4 linked regions of the Canis lupus familiaris genome follow. The main gene of each other region encodes a partner of the protein of the gene in region 3 in a complex. Links are inferred from orthologs where the notes say so. Each region holds a gene or a part of one and is shown on either strand. Other genes may lie near its edges. The genes, in order: PIGA, PIGC, PIGH and PIGY.

Region 1 (4,112 bases), on a different chromosome or scaffold from region 3:
GCTTTTCGGGTCACCTCTGTCGAGGCCATGTTTAATTCAGCAGTGACTTCCTGAAGCAGGACTGGCCTTCTAAGATTCCTTGACTCGGCTGAGGAGCTCTCACCGCTAGCTGGCAGACATCAACCACCATCAGAGAGCTCTAATCTAGCGCGCTGCTGGGTAGAGAGAGGCTCTTCTTTTCCACGGCCACGTAAGGCCATGTTGCTGAGTATGGATGGTGAGAGCATACAGAAACATTTCGTGGACTCCAAATAAAAGGAAGGGGGAAAAGATAGGGGAAATTTTAGTAGATGGCATAGGTCAAATGCTGGCAAACAAAAACAAAGTTTACTGCTGAGGACCGGTAGTAGGTGGCTTGCTTTTTTCAGGCACGGCTAAGCACAAAACTCAGAAATATTTTTAAAACAAAGATCTTTAAACATATGTTTCGAACACATAAGCGAGGCCAGCATTTATCTGTTTTCATTGCATTCGAGCATTGCTTGTGGTCATTCTCACACAGCGGACCTGTAAGCCATCTCCTTTTGAACTCAAGAAGGCTGTGACGTGCAGTGCGAGCTCTACAGGCCAGTGGCCTCTGGAAAGGTACAGGCTGCTTCCAGCTAGCTCTTGTACCCTCAAAACATCTGGAATACATTTCAGTCCAAATTATGCTGAGACTGGTGAATTAGAACAGTTGAGAGAGCATGTTTCCAGCATGAACTCCAATGTAATGTCTTCATCAATGTTCTAAATAGCATAGTTAAACTATGAAGGAGGAGCTGAAAACGATCAAAATGGCCTGTGTGGAACAGGAAGAATTAAAAGAGCAACTACAAGTTCTCTACTGCCGCTCTGTGTTTGTGGTATTTTCAACATTTGTCATGTGCATCCTGCATCCTAACTTACTATGTTCTCCACCAGCCCAAAGATGCAAAAATCCTCTTCCCCACAGAACATCATGGTACTTAGCAAGGGTGATGCAAGGGTTTTGGGAAGTAGCCTGAATTCAACGTTTGCAAGTTTTAAAGTTGCCGCAATCAGACTAAGAAAAACCACCTACTTCCTAATAAACTGGCATGCTTAGAATTAGAAACAGCCTCAAGAAAATTTCTGAGAGTAGATCTTAATATCGGTTTGGCCTTTGAACAGTCGTGCCTTCTAGAAAACTCTGTAACTCCCTTATGCCTAATTTAATGAGAAGTCTTGACGGCATTGCTATTTTCAGATGTCAAATGCAACGAGTTGACTAGAAACTTAGCCTAGCATATACCAAAAGTAGTACATAGTGCATTTCTTTTCATTTGAAGAGACTTCATAAACTTAAGCAACAGAAAGGGTAAACCTATATATATATTTAAAAAAAGCAAACGTGTACACGAAACGCCAAGAATTTAGACACAATCTTCAAATACCCTTTGCTTAGCACATGACATACTTTTTCAGTTCTTTCTGCAACATTCCTCCAGGTGTAGAAAGTCTTTACTATGTTATGGATATTTTCGGGAGCTGGCAACGCTCCTGACTTCAGCTGGGAAATCGCTTTTTCCAAACCCTTGCACAAGGACTTGACAGAAGGCTCACACAGAATGATAAGATTTTCTGGAAGTACCTCAGGAATTCCACCAACCCTGGTACTTACCACCTTAAAAAGGAGAACAAGAACATACATTACACCATAATTCATATTTCAGGAAAATCAGCAAAACCAACTTTAAAAAGTCATTACAGAAAGTACCTGCTTATTTTTCAAAATACAAGTACAGAAACCCCAACAACGTAAGCCCTCAAAGCTTTTTACCTGTAAACCACAACTGGCTGCTTCCACAATTGCCATGCAGAATGCTTCGGTAAGGGAAGTATTAAGAAAAATATGTCCTTGAACTAAGACATTTCTAACATCCTTGTGCTCTAAGGCTCCCAAGAGACGCACTCTGATTTTAGAAATGAAAGAAGAAAAGAGAGGAGTGAAAATCATGCAAGAAAAGAAATATCATTTAGAAGCCAAGTGTGCTATTCATATTATACTTAGATTACGGCTGGTTCTAATGTTTGCCACTGCACAAGACTAATATCACCAAATTATGATCTAAAAGAGTCTTTAAAGCTGTTTGGTTTCAAACTCATACAGCTACCATATTTCTAACTTTTGTCACGCATATAAATTTCATCTTCTACAAAATTAGTTGGCATTTAGTGGAGATATTAATATACTTTGGTGAGTAAATATTAAAGAGTCATTTCTAAACAGAAAAAGGCCCCTTAAAATTGATGCTTCACAGCAAACACCTTTTTAAGTTACTAAGAAAGAGAAGTATTTGAATCTGTATGTACAGGACAATTTACATGATTTGGGCCATACTATTTAAATCACAACTCAGCAAGGCTTGAAAATCTACAAACGTTTCCAAAGTGGTTGTTCTGTGTGTGTGTGTGTGTGTGTGTGAGTTCATATGCATGCGCACACCTTCCAGGGTACCTCCAACCATTGCCCCTGAAAGTCAAATAATACTGGGCCAAAAAAAAAAATTGTGAAATTTTTTTAAACTAAGTTTTCCCATATTATATACATTAAAAAAAACAGACTTTGCATTACATTTTTACATCAAGTATACATAGGAGAAACAGCCCACTTAAAAACACATGTAACCAAAACTGAATTCAGGTAACATTTTCTCACCCAAGACAATATAGAATCCATCAATACCTGTCATGTAGCTGGTACCTTTCTCGTACTTCTTCCAAAATGATTCTCTTAGGTCCCTCTCCTCCAATTATGAAATTTAAATCTGGATATTTCTGACAGAGTTCAGGTATTATACCACTAAGCAAATCAGTCCCTGAAAATATAAAATAAAGTTGAATGTTGGAAATATTAATATTTAAACTTTAAAAAATTCAGCAGAACTGAGAAAACACTCCCTTTGAAAAGTATTAGCTATGCCCTCCTTAGGCAGAGAAGCTAATTCTCAAACCTTTCCTGCCAAGGTGGAATGTCCAAACTACCAGCGCTCTCCTAAGAGTTGCAGTTCTTAAAGTACATTGACATCCACTGTTACCCGATACATGGGTTGGTTATATGGGTTATGCTGTTTCGTTCTAACATAACATTCTTTGTCATTCGCTTGTGGTTATGCATCACATACTTCTAAAAAAGGTATTTGAGGTAGCTAGCATTTGAGTTAGTTTTCTACAGAGCCGAACAGCTGATCGGAGACCTAGGATTTGTCCCAGCCAACTTAGGAGCAAGCTCTTTGGTCGTGGGAAAATTTTCTGATAATAGAAAACGAAGAGACCAGATGTGCCTGAAGTCCAAGGTCTCTTTCAGCTACAAAATTTCTACCAGTCTATGTTCCATATCCCGCCATGCCATCAGAAAGGGCTAAGCAACAAAGTGTAACTGCAGCATCCGCTTTGTTGAGAACGCAGCTTGTACACAGGATCTTACAACAAACTCCACAGTATTAGCAAAATGTAAAAGAGTAGTCCGTCCAAACCTGCCATAGCCCACTTCCCTTGAATGAGAGTAAATGAAGGTGGCAGGACCTCGACTGACAGATGGTTATAATCCAGAGAACAAAAGGGTGCGTCTTGGTTCTTTTTTTTCCTTTAATGAAACACTTTCCTTCTAATACGTAAATACAACCCCAGGTAATATGAAGCAAAAAAATAAACCATGCCCTACCAGTCTGAAAGTGGCTATCCAAAGTGACAGGAATGTTGATACTTTTTGAGAATTTTGTTCATTAACAATTATAAATTGGACACATTTCAAAGTAAAAGTAAATGTAAAATAACCCAGTTAAAGTTTATTAATTCAAAAAATGCATATGTACACACACACAAAAATAAGAATTACACTTTTTTCTATCAATCTTCTCAAATACAGGCAGATCAATTATTTTTAAAAAAAGATAGTGGGAGAAGTAATTTATATGGGGTCATTTTTATTAAATTCAAAGTAGGGATTTATATAAACTCCGCCAGCATTTTCAAAATATAACTGCATTAGCAAACATAAGTTCACACGCAGCTTTTCTGAATTATGAAGGCTTCTCATTAAAATCTTAGCTACCTTTGTTTCAAGACAATTACCGAATCTGTCAACTGGATCTCTACATAAACCAGAAGGT
Region 2 (4,749 bases), on a different chromosome or scaffold from region 3:
ACACCTCCAATTGTGAAACACAGAAACATATTCCATAGCTGTTGGTTTGGAAGTGGCAGGACTGGTGAGATTGGAGGAGATTGTCCCAAAGGGATATACGGGCAGTCGCTCCTCTCTAAAGATTGCCATTTATGGGTCTAGACTTTTGATGGTTAAAATGAGAAAATTTCAAATTAAAGCAGAGGAGAAAAAGTAAGATGTAGAGGAGGATGGAAGTGTTCGGAGAGGTAGCATCCAGGGGCAAAATTCTTTTGTATTGTTGAGTGGTGGTTGTAGAGAGGGAGGTTCATTGAGATCTCCTCCCCCCTGCCAAGCCTATACTCAGTGCCTGCTTTTGTCTGAGAAACCCAGGCCATTTCTGGGCTTTGAGCACTCATCTTGAGTTTCTCAACTGACCAGATTTGCCCCTCTGATAACTGCCCCAGAAACCATCTTCTGTGACATCTTTCTCGAAACCTTTGGCTTCAGTGACTGAGTGATTTACCTTTTGGGGAGGCTGAGCACTAATGGCTTGTTTATGAGGCTGGCCTCGCTAAGCCAAGGAATCTTGCCAAATTTCGGAACAGAAACCTGGAAAGAAATGGAAAGAGATCATTCCGTGGAACTTATTGCATTTGAACATTGCCATCAAAACAATAACCAAAGTGAGCTAATGGCAGCTATATAAAAGTCAGCACTTTACAAAACATTTTTATGACGAGGGCCTTTTGAGTCTCCTATAAAGGATCCAAGAGCAAACAGTGTTATCTCCACTTTACAGATGAAGAAATCAGAGCTCAGGCGTTGTGATTTGCCAAGTCACACGGCTCATAGGTGGATTCAGGTTTTCTGACTTTCGTGCCCTCTATACCTGGCCTTCTACTCTACCTATCCCTTTGCTTCTTTATTACTTCCATCTGTTGGTGCACCTATGCAGCCGGCTGAATTATCAGCAGCCTCCCGTTCAGTCCCAGACTGTTTTCAGCCGCAGGGCCCTCCGCTCCCGATTCCTTCCAGGCACCAAAGAGGAATGAACAACACGCTGAAGCCGCGGACATGGCACGTTAATCTGTTAATCCACTTTCCAGCTGGTGGCTTTGGGACAGCTCACAAGGTCTCTGAGCCTCGGTTTTGTCCTCTTGGGAAGATATCATCACTTTCCAGGTCAACGCACAAGACAGAGAGCTGCAGGAGAGCAGGGATTTTCGGTTCCACTCACTGTGGTGTCAAGAGCCCCCCTAGGACAGTGCTCGCAGGTGCTCTCCGAATACCTGTCCAGCGAATGCACGGATGCGTGGCAAGTCCCCAGTTGAGGGCCTGACTGAGTAACAGGAGCGCCTAAGAGTCGGCTCTACAGTCTCTCTTTACCAGCCCAGCCTCTGTCCCCCGGCGTTCGGATCCCAAATAATCCAGCCTTTCGTTGCGGCGCTTGCTTTTTCCTAGGCTCCGAGCGGCGCGTCCTCGGGAGAGGAGCCGGGAGTTCCGCGGGTCGCCGGCAGGGGGCAGCAGCGACCCCCGCAGTTCCGCCGGCCGGGGAAAGGCGCTCTCGCCGCGGGGGGGGCGGACCCGGAAGTGCTCGGCCGGCGTCGCGAGCGCCGCGGAGCCCCGGATGGGAGCGGAAGTGGGCGGCCGCCTCCGTCCGGCCGCAGAGCCCCGGGAGCTGCGGGCAGGTGGGTCCTCGGGCGGGCGTCCGCGTTTCCGGGCCTCCTTGTCCTCCGCCACGCCCGCGCAGGCGCAAGGCCGGTGAGCGGCGGCCGCGGAGGGGGAGTGGGGCGTCCCCGGGGACACCTGGCCGACCCCGCGGGGGGGGGGGGCGGGGCGTTGCCCTGGGCGACGGCGGGAGCGCGCTGGGCTGGGGGCCCTGCGGCCGCCAACGGGGCTCCAGGGCGTCTGGCCGGTGCAGCCCAACTCGCCGTGGTCTCCGTGGAGGGAGTCAGGTCGGGCAGTAGGAGTCGCCTTCCCGGGCTTGCTGGAGGGAGGACTCGGGTCCTTCTGCCTCCTTCAGGTTTCCTTGTGGAGAAGGGGTCGTCGTCCGCGGGCCTCGCGAGAGTTTCCCGCCAGGACGCGAGCTCTTTAAAGGAGGTTAAGCTCGCGAGGTTCGTGGGTGAAGACCCTTGAGATTCTAAACCGGGAGCTCGTGCCTTTTTGTATTGTGCGGTTTACTGTTGTCTTTAGACTGGTACCTTTTCTTCTTCTTCTTCTTATTTTTTTTTTAAGATTTATTTATTCATGAGAAACAGAGAGAGGCAGAGACACAGGCAGAGGGAGAAGCAGGCTCCCTACCAGGGGCCCGATGCGGGACTCGATCCCGGGACCCCGGGATCACGACCTGAGCCAAAGGCAGACGCTCAACCGCTGAGCCACCCAGGCGTCACTGGTACCTTTTTCTTTTTTTTTTTTTCTCCTTTTTTGGTATAATGCCTTTGAGGTCTCCATCAATAAAAGCTCCGGATCCTATCCCTCGAAATTTGCACTAATTGCAGCCACAAGGATATGGTGACAGGGAGAGTGTTTTGGATGCTCTGGAGCCCATCCACAGACCTCAGGGATGTGTGAACCCCTGAGGGAGACATGACGTGAGGCTCAGGCTTCCGGGGAAAGACGTGGGCCTGAATTTGGCGCCACTGTTAATTTGGGCTAAAGTTGTCTGAGCAATCTGAATCTCAGGTATTTTTACTGATTAAAGTGGAGCTAATGCTGATTTGAAAGGAGAGGATTAAACGAAAGAAGCTCCAGAAGGCACCTGGCACATAGTAGGCGCTCAGAGAGTAATAGCTGACAGATGTCTGTTGTTATCTGTGGGATTATAATTAAAATCTGATGTGAAGTGTTAACGTCCATAATTATAAAACAGCCACCGCATGTATTTTTGCTCAGACTTTTAATAAACTGAATTAGTTTGATTTTTAACTCAGTCCTTCCCTTGACCTTTGACAGCTTTCCTAGGTTCATAGTCTCTCATTTTCCAGGAACTTGGCTGCATCATCCTGCCTCCGGGAACAAACTCTTCGAGTTGAGGCCTCGTCCGGGTTGCTGCCTTTGAAAGCAAGGGAAGGTCGGTACACTTTGAACCGCAACACAGCATGGAACTTCCAGAGAGGTCTTATTGCAAAACTGTGTAAAGAACAAGAACCACCTGGACTTCTGGAAGGGAGCTCAAACTGGCCTGAATTTGAAGGAGGGGATAATGTGTGCCCAACCTGTAACTGACACAAAGGAGATCAAGTGGCAGAAGGTCTTGTATGAGCGGCAGCCCTTTCCTGATAACTATGTGGACCGGCGTTTCCTGGAAGAGCTCCGGAAAAACATCTACGCCCGGAAGTACCAGTACTGGGCTGTGGTATTTGAGTCCAGTGTGGTGGTACAGCAGCTGTGCAGCGTTTGTGTTTTTGTGGTTATCTGGTGGTACATGGATGAGGGCCTCCTGGCGCCCCACTGGCTTTTTGGGACTGGCCTGGCTTCTTCACTGATTGGCTATGTTTTGTTTGATCTCATCGATGGAGGCGAAGGACGGAAAAAGAGCGGGCGGACCCGGTGGGCTGACTTGAAGAGTGCCCTCGTTTTCATTACTTTCACATATGGTTTTTCGCCAGTGCTGAAGACCCTGACAGAGTCTGTCAGCACCGATACCATCTATGCCATGTCAGTCTTTATGCTCTTGGGCCACCTCATTTTCTTTGACTATGGCGCCAACGCTGCCATTGTATCCAGCACACTGTCCTTGAACATGGCCATTTTTGCCTCTGTCTGCCTGGCGTCGCGCCTGCCCCGGTCCCTGCATGCTTTCATCATGGTGACATTTGCCATCCAGATTTTTGCCCTGTGGCCCATGTTACAGAAGAAACTGAAGGCATGTACTCCATGCAGCTACGTGGGAGTCACGTTGCTTTTCGCATTTTCAGCCTTGGGAGGTTTACTGTCCATTAGTGCTGTGGGAGCCATCCTCTTTGCCATTCTGCTGGTTTCCATCTCTTGTCTCTGCCCTTTCTACCTCATTCGCCTGCAGCTTTTTAAAGAAAACATTCATGGGCCTTGGGATGAGGCTGAAATCAAAGAAGACCTGTCCAGGTTTCTCAGCTAAGTTAGAGACTTCCATTCTGTTATTAAGGCAAGCTGATAGACTAGCCTCCCAACTAGTAGAAGACTCGAAGACAGTCCCATCCTGGAAACAACATACTGATGTGGGGGTAGGGGAACAGCAGTCAAAAGAAAGAACTAACCAAAGGCATGGGTGGTGAAGATGCTTGTCCTTTCTGTTATTTTGTGGATGAAAATGCTTTCTGGGGCCCTCCTCAATTCTTGCCTCTCATTTGCTGTAACAAATGAAGTGGTGTGGCTTCTATTTATTAAAAAAATAACATCCATTAAGTTGTCTCATGACTTTTCTGTAAGAAGGCTGACAGAAGGGGCATGAAGAGTGAAAAGAGAATGAAAATATATGTGTTTATGTGTAAAGTCACTTCTCTCTACCTTTATTTATCTAGAGCTCAGGTCCTAGAATCCTGGATTCTGTGTTGTGTTATTGCCTTAGATCCCAGAATTGGTCACTTAACCTTGACTCAGAGTTTCTATTAGTTTTAGTGAAGCATGTACACACTTAAGTCCAAAGGAGAGTGTGGTGTGTTGTGATACATAATCAGAATGCTAGGGGAATTCAAAGAAGCTGGAGACCACAATTGGAATAATTAGGAAACATTTGCCAGAGGAGATAGCATTTGAGCTTGGTCTGTGGTTTCAGGTGGGATTCAGGTTTAGGGCAAAGTGGCAAAG
Region 3 (4,606 bases):
AGACAAGAGAGCCCACGCCCATGGTAGAAAGTCCCATCTTAGAATTCTTCCATCCCTTCTGGAAATCCCCTAGACCAGCCTATAAAAAACCCAGCTGTAACCCACTTCGGGGTCAAGTCCCTGCTCCGCTGTGTTGGGTATACTTGGACCCAAGCTCGAGCTTGCTAATAAACCCTCGTGCGCTTGCATCGGTGTCGGCTTCTTGGTGGTTTCTCGGATTCGCAATCTTGGGCACAACAGTTTTGGGGAAAAAAGGAAACAAAATCTTGGATGAAGATGGAAAGACCGAACCTAACTTTCATCAGAGAGACTCAAAGCTGGTGAGACTGTTAATGCCATTTGTCTTTATAGACAAAGGGATCAATTCTTTAATTCATGATGCTGCCTCAGGGCTGAAGCACCATAACTCCAACAGGCCACAAGCCACTCTTGAGCCAAAAGTAAAAAAAAAAAAAAAAAAAAAAAAAACCAAAGACAAAAACAAACAAAACAAAACAAAACCCACAGGCGCTATTACTCATGGGTTTAGTGATTTTTATTATCCACACCTTCTGCATCTTCCTCTCTTGCTAACTTCCCAGCCAGGACTCCTCTGTCTACTCAATGCTCCACGCAGTGGTTGGGAAGAGACAACTCCCAAGCCAGTGAAATCCAAACTTCTTACCAGGCCCTATAAGACCCTCTTGGATCTGAGGTCTGCACCTCTCTCCCCAACTTCATTGATTTTAATTTTTTTTATTTATTTATTCATGAGAGACAGAAGCAGAGGCATAGGCATAGGCAGAAGCAGGCTCCCTGCGGGGAGAGCCTGATGTGGGACTCGATCCCAGGACCTCGGGATCATGGCCTGAGCCCAAAGCAGATGCTCAACCACTGAGCCACCCAGGCGCCCCTACCTTCCCAACTTCCAAATGCCTCCTCCTTGTGTCAGTCTCTTGATTCCTCCAATACATCAACCTTGTTCCAGCCTCGGGGACTTTGCCTTTCCTGGTCCTCCAAACTGTCATATTCCTCCTCCAGAGCTCTCCCGGACCAGTCTGGCTCCCCACGCGCGCAGCTCCAGGGTCCTCAGAGATTTTCCTGATTGCCCTGTGGCAAGTGTCCCCAAGCCACTCCTGCGGTCATGTTATTGCCAGCAGCACTCCCTGAAATCGTTTTGACACCCTTCCATATTGCAGTTGCTCTTACTGGAGCGGACGCTCCTTGAAGGCACGAATCTCCAGCACGGGCGGGCCAGCCCTGGATCTTCAGCAACTACCTGGCGCGGGAATGAAATGAATGAGTAAGTGACTGTAACGAGTGTGTATCTGCGGACTGTCTCCTGGCCTGGACCTAGAAATCGTCTGCCAAGCGAGAGCGCGTGAACAGGCCAGCTGCGTCGGCCTCCCGCGAGTCTCCGGAGTAGCCACGCCGCCCGCAGAAGCCCTGCGGGGCCGGGAAGCGCGAAACCCGAGCCGGCGGAGCCTCGCCGCAGCTCTGGGCGCCGACTGCGGCTGCGCGGAGCGTGAGGCGGGGGCGGGGCGGGGCGGGGCCTGCGCCGCTCTCCGGAAGTGGGTTGGAGCTGCTGAGAGGGCGCCGGCGGGCGAGAGGGCGCGACGGGGCGCGAGAGGGCGCCGGCGGGAGGGGCCCGCCGACCATGGAGGACGAGCGGAGCTTCTCGGATATCTGCGGCGGCCGCCTGGCCCTGCAGCGCCGCTACTACTCCCCGTCCTGCCGGGAGTTCTGCCTCAGCTGCCCCCGGCTCTCGCTGCGCTCGCTCACCGCGGTCACCTGCGCCGTGTGGCTCGCGGCCTACGGACTCTTCACCCTCTGCGAGGTAAAGGCCGCTCGGCCCCTCCCCGCAGTCGGAGTCGGGGGCGGCGTTCCCGGGTCGAGGCCGGGTCTCTCGTCGGGCCTTCCCGTCGGTGTAGGGTCGGAGGGCGGGAACTGGCTGGCTCTGCTGCCGGGACAGCTGTTTTCTTGACGTTTAGTGACGTTTTGACACCTGTGCTCTGTGCCTCCTGTGGGCGTCCACTTAGACCTTGCGCGATAGCCTCAGACTCTAACTTCCAGGTGACCTACGTAGCACGTGCTCACAGGAATTCAGTTCCAGGGGTTCGGAGAACTGTTAAGTGCATCGACCTCATCCGTCGCTCCGAATCTTCAGAGGAGTCGCTGCCAACAGAACCTTTATAGAGTCTTAAGGAGAAACCGTCTTTGCCTCCACAACATGAGCTTCATCAGTTCTAACCTGTTTTTCAAGGCAGTCTACCCCCCCCACCCCCACCCCTTCCCCAACCTCAAGTGATTTCTAATGAATTAGGAAGTTTTGGTGATGCGTTGTTTCTGGGCTCACCATTCGGACTCATTCCTATTTTCTGAGCCTCAGCTTTAACATGTTTAAAAGGGAATTGCTGCCTGCCATGCCAGCTTCACAGTATTGAGGGTCACATGTAGTGGCTTTGTGGCAGCCCTCAAATAAAACGAGTCACCCTAAATGCTTTTCAAGATGAATTTTTTTAAGACTTTATTTATTCATGAGAGACACACAGAGACAGAGAGAGAGAGGCAGAGACACAGGCAGAGGGAGAAGGAGGCTCCATGCAGGGAGATGGACGTGGGACTCGATCCCGGGTCTCCAGGATCACGCCCTGGGCTGAAGGCGGCGCTAAACCGCCGAGCCACCCGGGCTGCCCCAAGATGAATTTAGTTTCAGATGTAGTGTCCTGAACTGAATATATTATTCTAGGAGTGATCTGACCAGGTCGAGGGTTTTTTCTATATTTTGGGTCTTGTTTCCATTAATGCATTCATTGGCTCTCTTACCATCAATGTATGGTAATTTGGCATAGATATGTGCAGAATTAAGACTGCCCTAAGTTATGCCAAACTGTATCTAGAAGTTTGTTCAAAAGCCAGTTAATATGGTTAAACTGCCAGGACAGTCCTTCTCCCCCCTCGAAAAAGATTTAATTTATAATGTAGTTGAATTTTAATACTAGCCTGAGTTCTGGCCGTGTTGTCATGTGAGGAGGAGGAGCGAACAGATTATTATATGTCCACTAACTGCCAGCTGCTTTCCTGAATGTCTCATTTTAACCTTAGAAGAAAGCCAAGGCTTAGAGTAATAATTTACCCAAGGTCACAAAGCTAGTAAATGGCATACTTGGGCTTCAAACTCAGGACTGACTCTGAAACCCTTTCTTTTCCACTATACTGTCTCCTCCTTGGGGAGGGCTTACTTAGGTAAAATTTTTAAATAGAAGTTTGTTTTTATGCCAGCTCCTTTTTGTACCCTCTTATCCTGGTATGTCCCACCTGCCTCCATGAAGGGCCCACAACTCAGTAACCTTATCTTCCTTCAAACTCCACTGCAGGGGATCCTGGCTCAGCGGTTTAGCGCCGCCTTCAGTCCAGGGCGTAATCCTGGAGACCCGGATGGAGTCCCACATCCGGCTGGCTCCCTGCATGGAGCCTGCTTCTCCCTCGGCCTGTGTGTCTTTGCTTCTCTCTCTGTGTGTGTCTCTCATGAATAAATAAATAAAATCTTAAGAAAAAAAAACCTCCACTATATTTCTTAAGGGGTCTGTGTATCAGAGTTTATCTTTGGGTTCAAAACTATTTGTCAGAGTAATGACTCTCAGGAGGGAGAAGAAATGAAGGAATTCACAGAAACATGTGGCTTAATTTCAGCCCAAATAAATATTGAATTGTTAGAATTTCAGACAGAAAAATGAAGTATAGGGATCCCTGGGTGGCGCAGCGGTTTAGCGCCTGCCTTTGGCCCAGGGCACGATCCTGGAGACCCTGGATCGAATCCCATGTCGGGCTCCCGGTGCATGGAGCCTGCTTCTCCTTCTGCCTATGTCTCTGCCCTTCTCTCTCTCTCTCTGTGTGACTATCATAAATAAATAAAAATTAAAAAAAAAAGAAAAATGAAGTATAAAGAATGTAGGTAGTAATGAAGTTTTGGGCAAGGATTACCTTATTAAAAAGCTGATAGGGATTAAATCCCCTTACATTTTTTGTACTTCATCCCTTCTTTCCTGCTGGTTTTGAATTCACAATTCTATTAAAAGTGTAGGTTATTACCTGATTTATTGCAATCTGGAATGCTTTACCCCCTTCCTTTTCTCAACTAAGCATATCTATCAATAACCACCAGCTCTTATATACCAGTGAAATTCTTCTTCCTTGGAAGTCTTCATGGGGTATCCTGTGTGCTTTGAGGTCTCTTTCTTGCTTTCTCTCATTCTGTTTTAATACTTAGGCACTAATAGTTCCATAGTAGTCTCCAAAAATTTTAATTTTTGTATTAATTTTGCCTCTAATACACCTGTAAGGGCTGGGGCCGAATTTTCTATTCTTCCATGTTTATTCAGTTCAGACTATGAACCAGACACTGTACTAGATACTAGGCATTTAATTAACTTAAAGTAGACATTTTTGGATCATCAGAGACCTAGCACATAGATTTTTCCATTCTCCATTCATTAATCAGTAAGTAATTACCAAGTACAGAGGTCAGCAAACTTTAAAAGGCCAAATAGTAAATATTTTGGGCTTTACAGGTCTCTCACAGTCCTGTTTCTTTTTCTTTCTTTTACAACTCTTTTAAAAGTGTAAA
Region 4 (4,594 bases), on a different chromosome or scaffold from region 3:
AATTTCTGCAGCTTAAGCCTCCCATAGTCCAAAACCTCTGAGAGAAGCAAGGCAAAGCACCTTTCCTGCAAATTAAGTGGGTTTCCAGTATTTCCATGTCACTGAGCTTTCAGAGACAGACATGACATATCATTAATATGTGTATCATCTTGGCTCTGTTTGTATTAATTATGCCTGAAGAGTTTAATACCCATCCAGGTCCAAAGGTGGAAGAACACATAAACTGGTATGGTAACTGGCAGGAGGAGACTGTAAAAGCACAGGCTGGTTGTGCTAGTGCAGCCCTGTGGAAAGTTTTCCTCCACAGAAGCTGAGTAGAACAGTCCTGCTAAAGAGACCAATGGAATAAGGACAGTCAACGTAGGAAGAGACAGAAACATTCTTCTCCCCCGCTTATTACCTGCCACTCTGACTTTTAAAAAATTAAGTAGTATTAAGAAAATGCAGTTGTAGGCGTTGCTTTTAATTGTGATCTAGTGCTGCTCCGTTTCTTCTTGCTTCTTATTCTGATGTGTCATCCTAGCTGCCTGTGGTATCATATTAGGAATCCCATCAATAATTGGATAGGCTATTCCCAACTCTTCATTAATCAATTCATTTGTCGATGCTTCATATCTGAGGGGGGAAAAGAAAAACAAAATGAATTGTGGAAAATAAAATGCTTAGAAGTGCGTGGTCTTCAATAAACACCACCATTTATCCAATTCTTGACAGAGAGTTAAATTCCAAAAAAGTAGAATTAAACTGCTTCTAGGGTTGCCTGGGTGGCTCAGCAGTTTGGTGCCGTCTTCAGCCCAGGGCATGATTCTGGGGTCCCGGGATCCAGTCCCACATCGGGCTCCCTGCATGGAGCCTGCTTCTCAACCTCTGCCTGTGTCTCTGGCTCTCTGTAGGTCTCTCATGAATAAATAAGATCTTTAAAAAAATAAAAAACTGCTTCTAATTCTAAAAACAGTATTAGCCAACTGAAACATTTCTCTTAGAAAATGAATCTCTAATTGTTTGCATTTTGGTCAGTTTCTCTTGTATTTTTTCATTTTATTCTCGAGCTACACCTTAATATGTATTTTTAAAATCCAGTTAGAAGATCTTCCCTTTTCATCAAAATATTCCTTCCTAACTCTGGTCAACCCCAAAACCATCCCAGTTAATTTACTACTGAAACAGCCACTAGAGGAAAATTAAAATTCCCCACTATTTTAGAATGCACGCTTAACACAGCAACCTAATTGAACCACTGGAAGGAAACCACTGAAAATCAAGATATACAAAATAAAAGTTTGAGGAGGAGAGAGCAGAAACGAGGAAACTGAAAACAGTGCATCTGCAGCTAGTTACACAACTAAACGGTAGATCAAATGGTCATTTCAAGGTATAAGAAAATTGAGTGGGGATCCCTGGGTGGCGCAGCGGTTTAGCGCCTGCCTTTGGCCCAGGGCGCCATCCTGGAGACCCGGGATCAAATCCCACGTCGGGCTCCCGGTGCATGGAGCCTGCTTCTCCCTCTGCCTGTGTCTCTGCGCCTCTCTCTCTCTCTCTGTGTGTGTGTAACTATCATAAATAAATAAAAATTAAAAAAAAAAAAAAAGAAAATTGAGTGTCTTCATTATGGGAAAACATCTCGTTAAGAGAAACGTAGAAAGATTGAAAAAAAAAAAATGACTAGCAATCCACCACCCAAAATAACCACTGATAACAGTCTGGTGCAAAACTAGTGTTGTCAATGTTCAGTTTTAGTAGCCTGGGGGTGCAGAGTTCTTTTAAAAAAAAAAAAATTTAAACTCGGGCAGCCCCGGTGGCGCAGCGGTTTAGCGCCGCCTTCGGCCCAGGGCGTGATCCTGGAGACCCGGGATCGAGTCCCACGTCGGGCTCCCAGTGCATGGAGCCTGCTTCTCCCTCTGCCTGTGTCTCTGCCTCTCTCTCTGTGTGTGTCTCATGAATAAATAAAATCTTTCCTCATTTGATTAACATACAGTGTATAATTAGTTCAGAGATAGAGTTTAGTGCTTCATCAGTGGAACCTAACACCCAGTGCCCATGACATCAAGTGCCCTCCTTAATGCCCGTCACCGGTCACCCATCCCCCCACCCCCAGCAACCCTCCGTCGGTCTCCTAGAGTTGGTCTCCCTCTCTGATTCCGTCTCCTTCTATTTCCCCTCCCTGAGCTGTTTTCCCTAAGGATTCCAGGGAGACAGACCCTACGACTCTGCAAAACCCAGCCCGTCCAGAACTAAGAGCCAAAGGCGCAGCAGCGCACGCAGCTTAAAAGTGTTTAAGGCCGTCACGCATCAGCTGTAGATTTCCATAAGAATTTTTAGTCATTTTTCACCATCTTGGCTTAAAAACCTCACACCCACGGGCCAGTCCCGACTCCCAACAGTTCCTAAACCTGGCGGCGCGCGAGAACCACTTAGGTCCTTTTAAGAAAACGCCTCGCGCTAGTCCGGCCCCCAGCCCGGCTGACTGGGTCGGTCGGCGCCGGCGCACCCGAATCGGCATTTAAAAAAAAAAAAAAAAAAAAGTTCCCCCGGCGAGGCGACCGCGCGGCCAGCGCGGAACCTTCCAAGGCTTCCAGCCGCGCCTCGGCGGTGGGATCCGAGCGGCCCGGGATCGGCTCGCGCCCGCCTCCCCCCTCCCCCGCCCTTCCCGCCGCAGTGGGCGGAGCCTGGTAGCCGCAGGGCCCGGGGCCACAAAATGGCTGCGGGCAACCCCGGCCCGAGCCGAAGGGCTCCCCAGGGCCGTGAGCGGCCGCGCGAACCGAGGCCGGCCGCCGGGAATCTCACCTGAGCGGCTTCTTGGAGAGCGGGCACACCAGGAACTCGAGCAGCGCCGGGTCGAAGGCGCGGGGCGGGCCTCCCGTCCTCTCGCTCTTGTCTGAGGGCCGCCGCGACCCCGACGCGTGAAGGCGCCTGCGGGCGACCGCGAACGACGGCCCGCGCGGCCCCCGCAGTGCTGAGGCGAGCCGGCCGCACGCTCCGCTCAGCATGGTCTGGCAGCCCGCACCCGCCGCCCTGCCAGCGCCCGGCCGCTTCAGCCGCTTCCGCCGCTTCAGCCGCTCCCCGCGCAGCCGGCCCCGCCGCCCGCCAGGCCCCGCCCCCGGTGCTGCGGGAATGCGGTCCCCGGGCGGGCGGGCAGGAGGCAGCCCTTGGGTTCCGGGGGCGCTGCTGACGCGACTGCTTCTTCCCGCCCACCGCTCGGTAGTTACGGCGGGGCCCGTAGCCGCGGGGCTCCAGTGGCTGTTCGCCGCGTTTACCGATGACTGACAAAGCCAGGGCTTGAATTGGGGGCATTTTGGGTTTTCACCAGGGCTCATCGCAGGGGAGCCAGGAAGCCGGTGGCCGGATCTCAGAGTCCCACAGGGTTAAGCTTGCACCTACGTGGTCATCTCCAGAATGAGGTTTCGAACACGTATTGGGTATCTTAAAAGCATGGATTTGTTTTATGTAAATTACCATAGCACCTGTAACCTTTCCCCCCTCCCCGCCCTTTTCTTATTAAATGAAAACTTGAGGGGCCCCTGGGTGGCTCAGTGGATGAGCGTCTGCCTTCGGCTGAGGTCGTGATCCCAAGGTCAGGGGGTAGAGTCTAGCTCAGGCCTGACCCCGGGTCCTGGGATCGAGTCCCGCATCAGGCTCCGCGCGGGGCGCCTGCTTCTCCCTCTGCCCGTGTCTCGGCCTCTCTCTCTCTCTGTGTGTCTCTCATGAATAAATACATAAAATCTTAAAACACACACACACACACACACAAAGAAACTTTAGAGCCTGAAAAGAATAGCATAGGCCTCTTAACCTCCCAGAAGTCCAGCTTCTACTGTGAATTCAACTGCATCATAAAGCGCAGCCAGTTTATAAATGAGCTGGTGACAGCAAGGAGTCTGAGCAACTGTGCAACCAAGCGGGTGGATGTACCTTAGTTGGATGGCAAATCCGCTCAGTGGATTTTCCGCGCCAGGTTTGCATCTGGTGCTCTAGGGAAGTGGTCTCAGGCTTGATCTCTTTCTTACCATGAAGGAAGGGTTGGGCTCTGGGGCCTGGCAGCTCGGTTTCTGGTCCGTGCTTTACTAGCTGTGTAAGTCCAGCCAACGACTTACCCAGTTTCTTTTTTTTTTTTTTTAATTTTTTTAAATTAATTTATTTATTTATGATAGTCATCAGCGAGAGAGAGAGAGAGAGGAGAGAGAGAGGCAGAGACACAGGCAGAGGGAGAAGCAGGCTCCATGCACCGGGAGCCCGATGTGGGATTCGATCCCGGGTCTCCAGGATCGCGCCCTGGGCCAAAGGCAGGCGCCAAACCGCTGCGCCACCCAGGGATCCCCCCACTCAGTTTCTTTATTGTATGATAAGATAATGGCACCTACCTCATGAAATCTCCTTGTGGGCATTCAAATGGGATCTTGCAGGCAAAGAATATTTAGAAGAGTGATCCGGACAATTAACAATTGAGTTAATGCTCAATTAATGTTCTCTATTGTTATTTTTACGTCCTCTGTTCTTTCCAGTACATTGTGCTAGAAGATTCTTTGTTAGTCATCAGTTTTTTTCCCTTTGTTTTGCTGAATATGGACTTGAGCCTTTTTTGTTTCATTGGACTTTA

What was found.
Region 1: PIGH (region 3) and PIGA share a complex: the UniProt entries of both Homo sapiens proteins name them as parts of the glycosylphosphatidylinositol-N-acetylglucosaminyltransferase (GPI-GnT) complex. The link is inferred for Canis lupus familiaris from reciprocal best matches to the Homo sapiens genes PIGH and PIGA.
Region 2: PIGH (region 3) and PIGC share a complex: the UniProt entries of both Homo sapiens proteins name them as parts of the glycosylphosphatidylinositol-N-acetylglucosaminyltransferase (GPI-GnT) complex. The link is inferred for Canis lupus familiaris from reciprocal best matches to the Homo sapiens genes PIGH and PIGC.
Region 4: PIGH (region 3) and PIGY share a complex: the UniProt entries of both Homo sapiens proteins name them as parts of the glycosylphosphatidylinositol-N-acetylglucosaminyltransferase (GPI-GnT) complex. The link is inferred for Canis lupus familiaris from reciprocal best matches to the Homo sapiens genes PIGH and PIGY.

The regions. Positions count from the first base shown.
Region 1 is NC_049260.1:11,617,381-11,621,492, forward strand, and holds part of PIGA (phosphatidylinositol N-acetylglucosaminyltransferase subunit A), read right to left. Parts: intron 2,820-4,112; coding exon 2,687-2,819; intron 1,914-2,686; coding exon 1,781-1,913; intron 1,625-1,780; coding exon 1,418-1,624; intron 246-1,417; coding exon of another isoform or gene 120-245; exon of another isoform or gene 1-119. UniProt on the Homo sapiens protein: Catalytic subunit of the glycosylphosphatidylinositol-N-acetylglucosaminyltransferase (GPI-GnT) complex that catalyzes the transfer of N-acetylglucosamine from UDP-N-acetylglucosamine to phosphatidylinositol and participates in the first step of GPI biosynthesis.
Region 2 is NC_049228.1:26,429,851-26,434,599, forward strand, and holds PIGC (phosphatidylinositol N-acetylglucosaminyltransferase subunit C), read left to right. Parts: upstream 1-1,527; 5' UTR 1,528-1,649; exon of another isoform or gene 1,650-1,722; intron 1,723-1,980; exon of another isoform or gene 1,981-2,158; intron 2,159-2,295; exon of another isoform or gene 2,296-2,356; intron 2,357-2,916; exon of another isoform or gene 2,917-2,948; 5' UTR 2,949-3,166; coding exon 3,167-4,060; 3' UTR 4,061-4,347; downstream 4,348-4,749. Other genes in the region: C7H1orf105 (uncharacterized protein C1orf105 homolog), read right to left, coding at 485-570. UniProt on the Homo sapiens protein: Part of the glycosylphosphatidylinositol-N-acetylglucosaminyltransferase (GPI-GnT) complex that catalyzes the transfer of N-acetylglucosamine from UDP-N-acetylglucosamine to phosphatidylinositol and participates in the first step of GPI biosynthesis.
Region 3 is NC_049229.1:41,842,696-41,847,301, reverse strand, and holds the start of PIGH (phosphatidylinositol N-acetylglucosaminyltransferase subunit H), read left to right. Parts: upstream 1-1,535; 5' UTR 1,536-1,636; coding exon 1,637-1,816; intron 1,817-4,606. UniProt on the Homo sapiens protein: Part of the glycosylphosphatidylinositol-N-acetylglucosaminyltransferase (GPI-GnT) complex that catalyzes the transfer of N-acetylglucosamine from UDP-N-acetylglucosamine to phosphatidylinositol and participates in the first step of GPI biosynthesis.
Region 4 is NC_049253.1:28,141,831-28,146,424, reverse strand, and holds the start of PIGY (phosphatidylinositol N-acetylglucosaminyltransferase subunit Y), read right to left. Parts: upstream 3,076-4,594; 5' UTR 2,988-3,075; coding exon of another isoform or gene 2,785-2,987; intron 616-2,784; coding exon of another isoform or gene 474-615; 5' UTR 381-473; coding exon 165-380; 3' UTR 1-164. Other genes in the region: PYURF (protein preY, mitochondrial), read right to left, coding at 474-615, 2,785-2,987. UniProt on the Homo sapiens protein: Part of the glycosylphosphatidylinositol-N-acetylglucosaminyltransferase (GPI-GnT) complex that catalyzes the transfer of N-acetylglucosamine from UDP-N-acetylglucosamine to phosphatidylinositol and participates in the first step of GPI biosynthesis.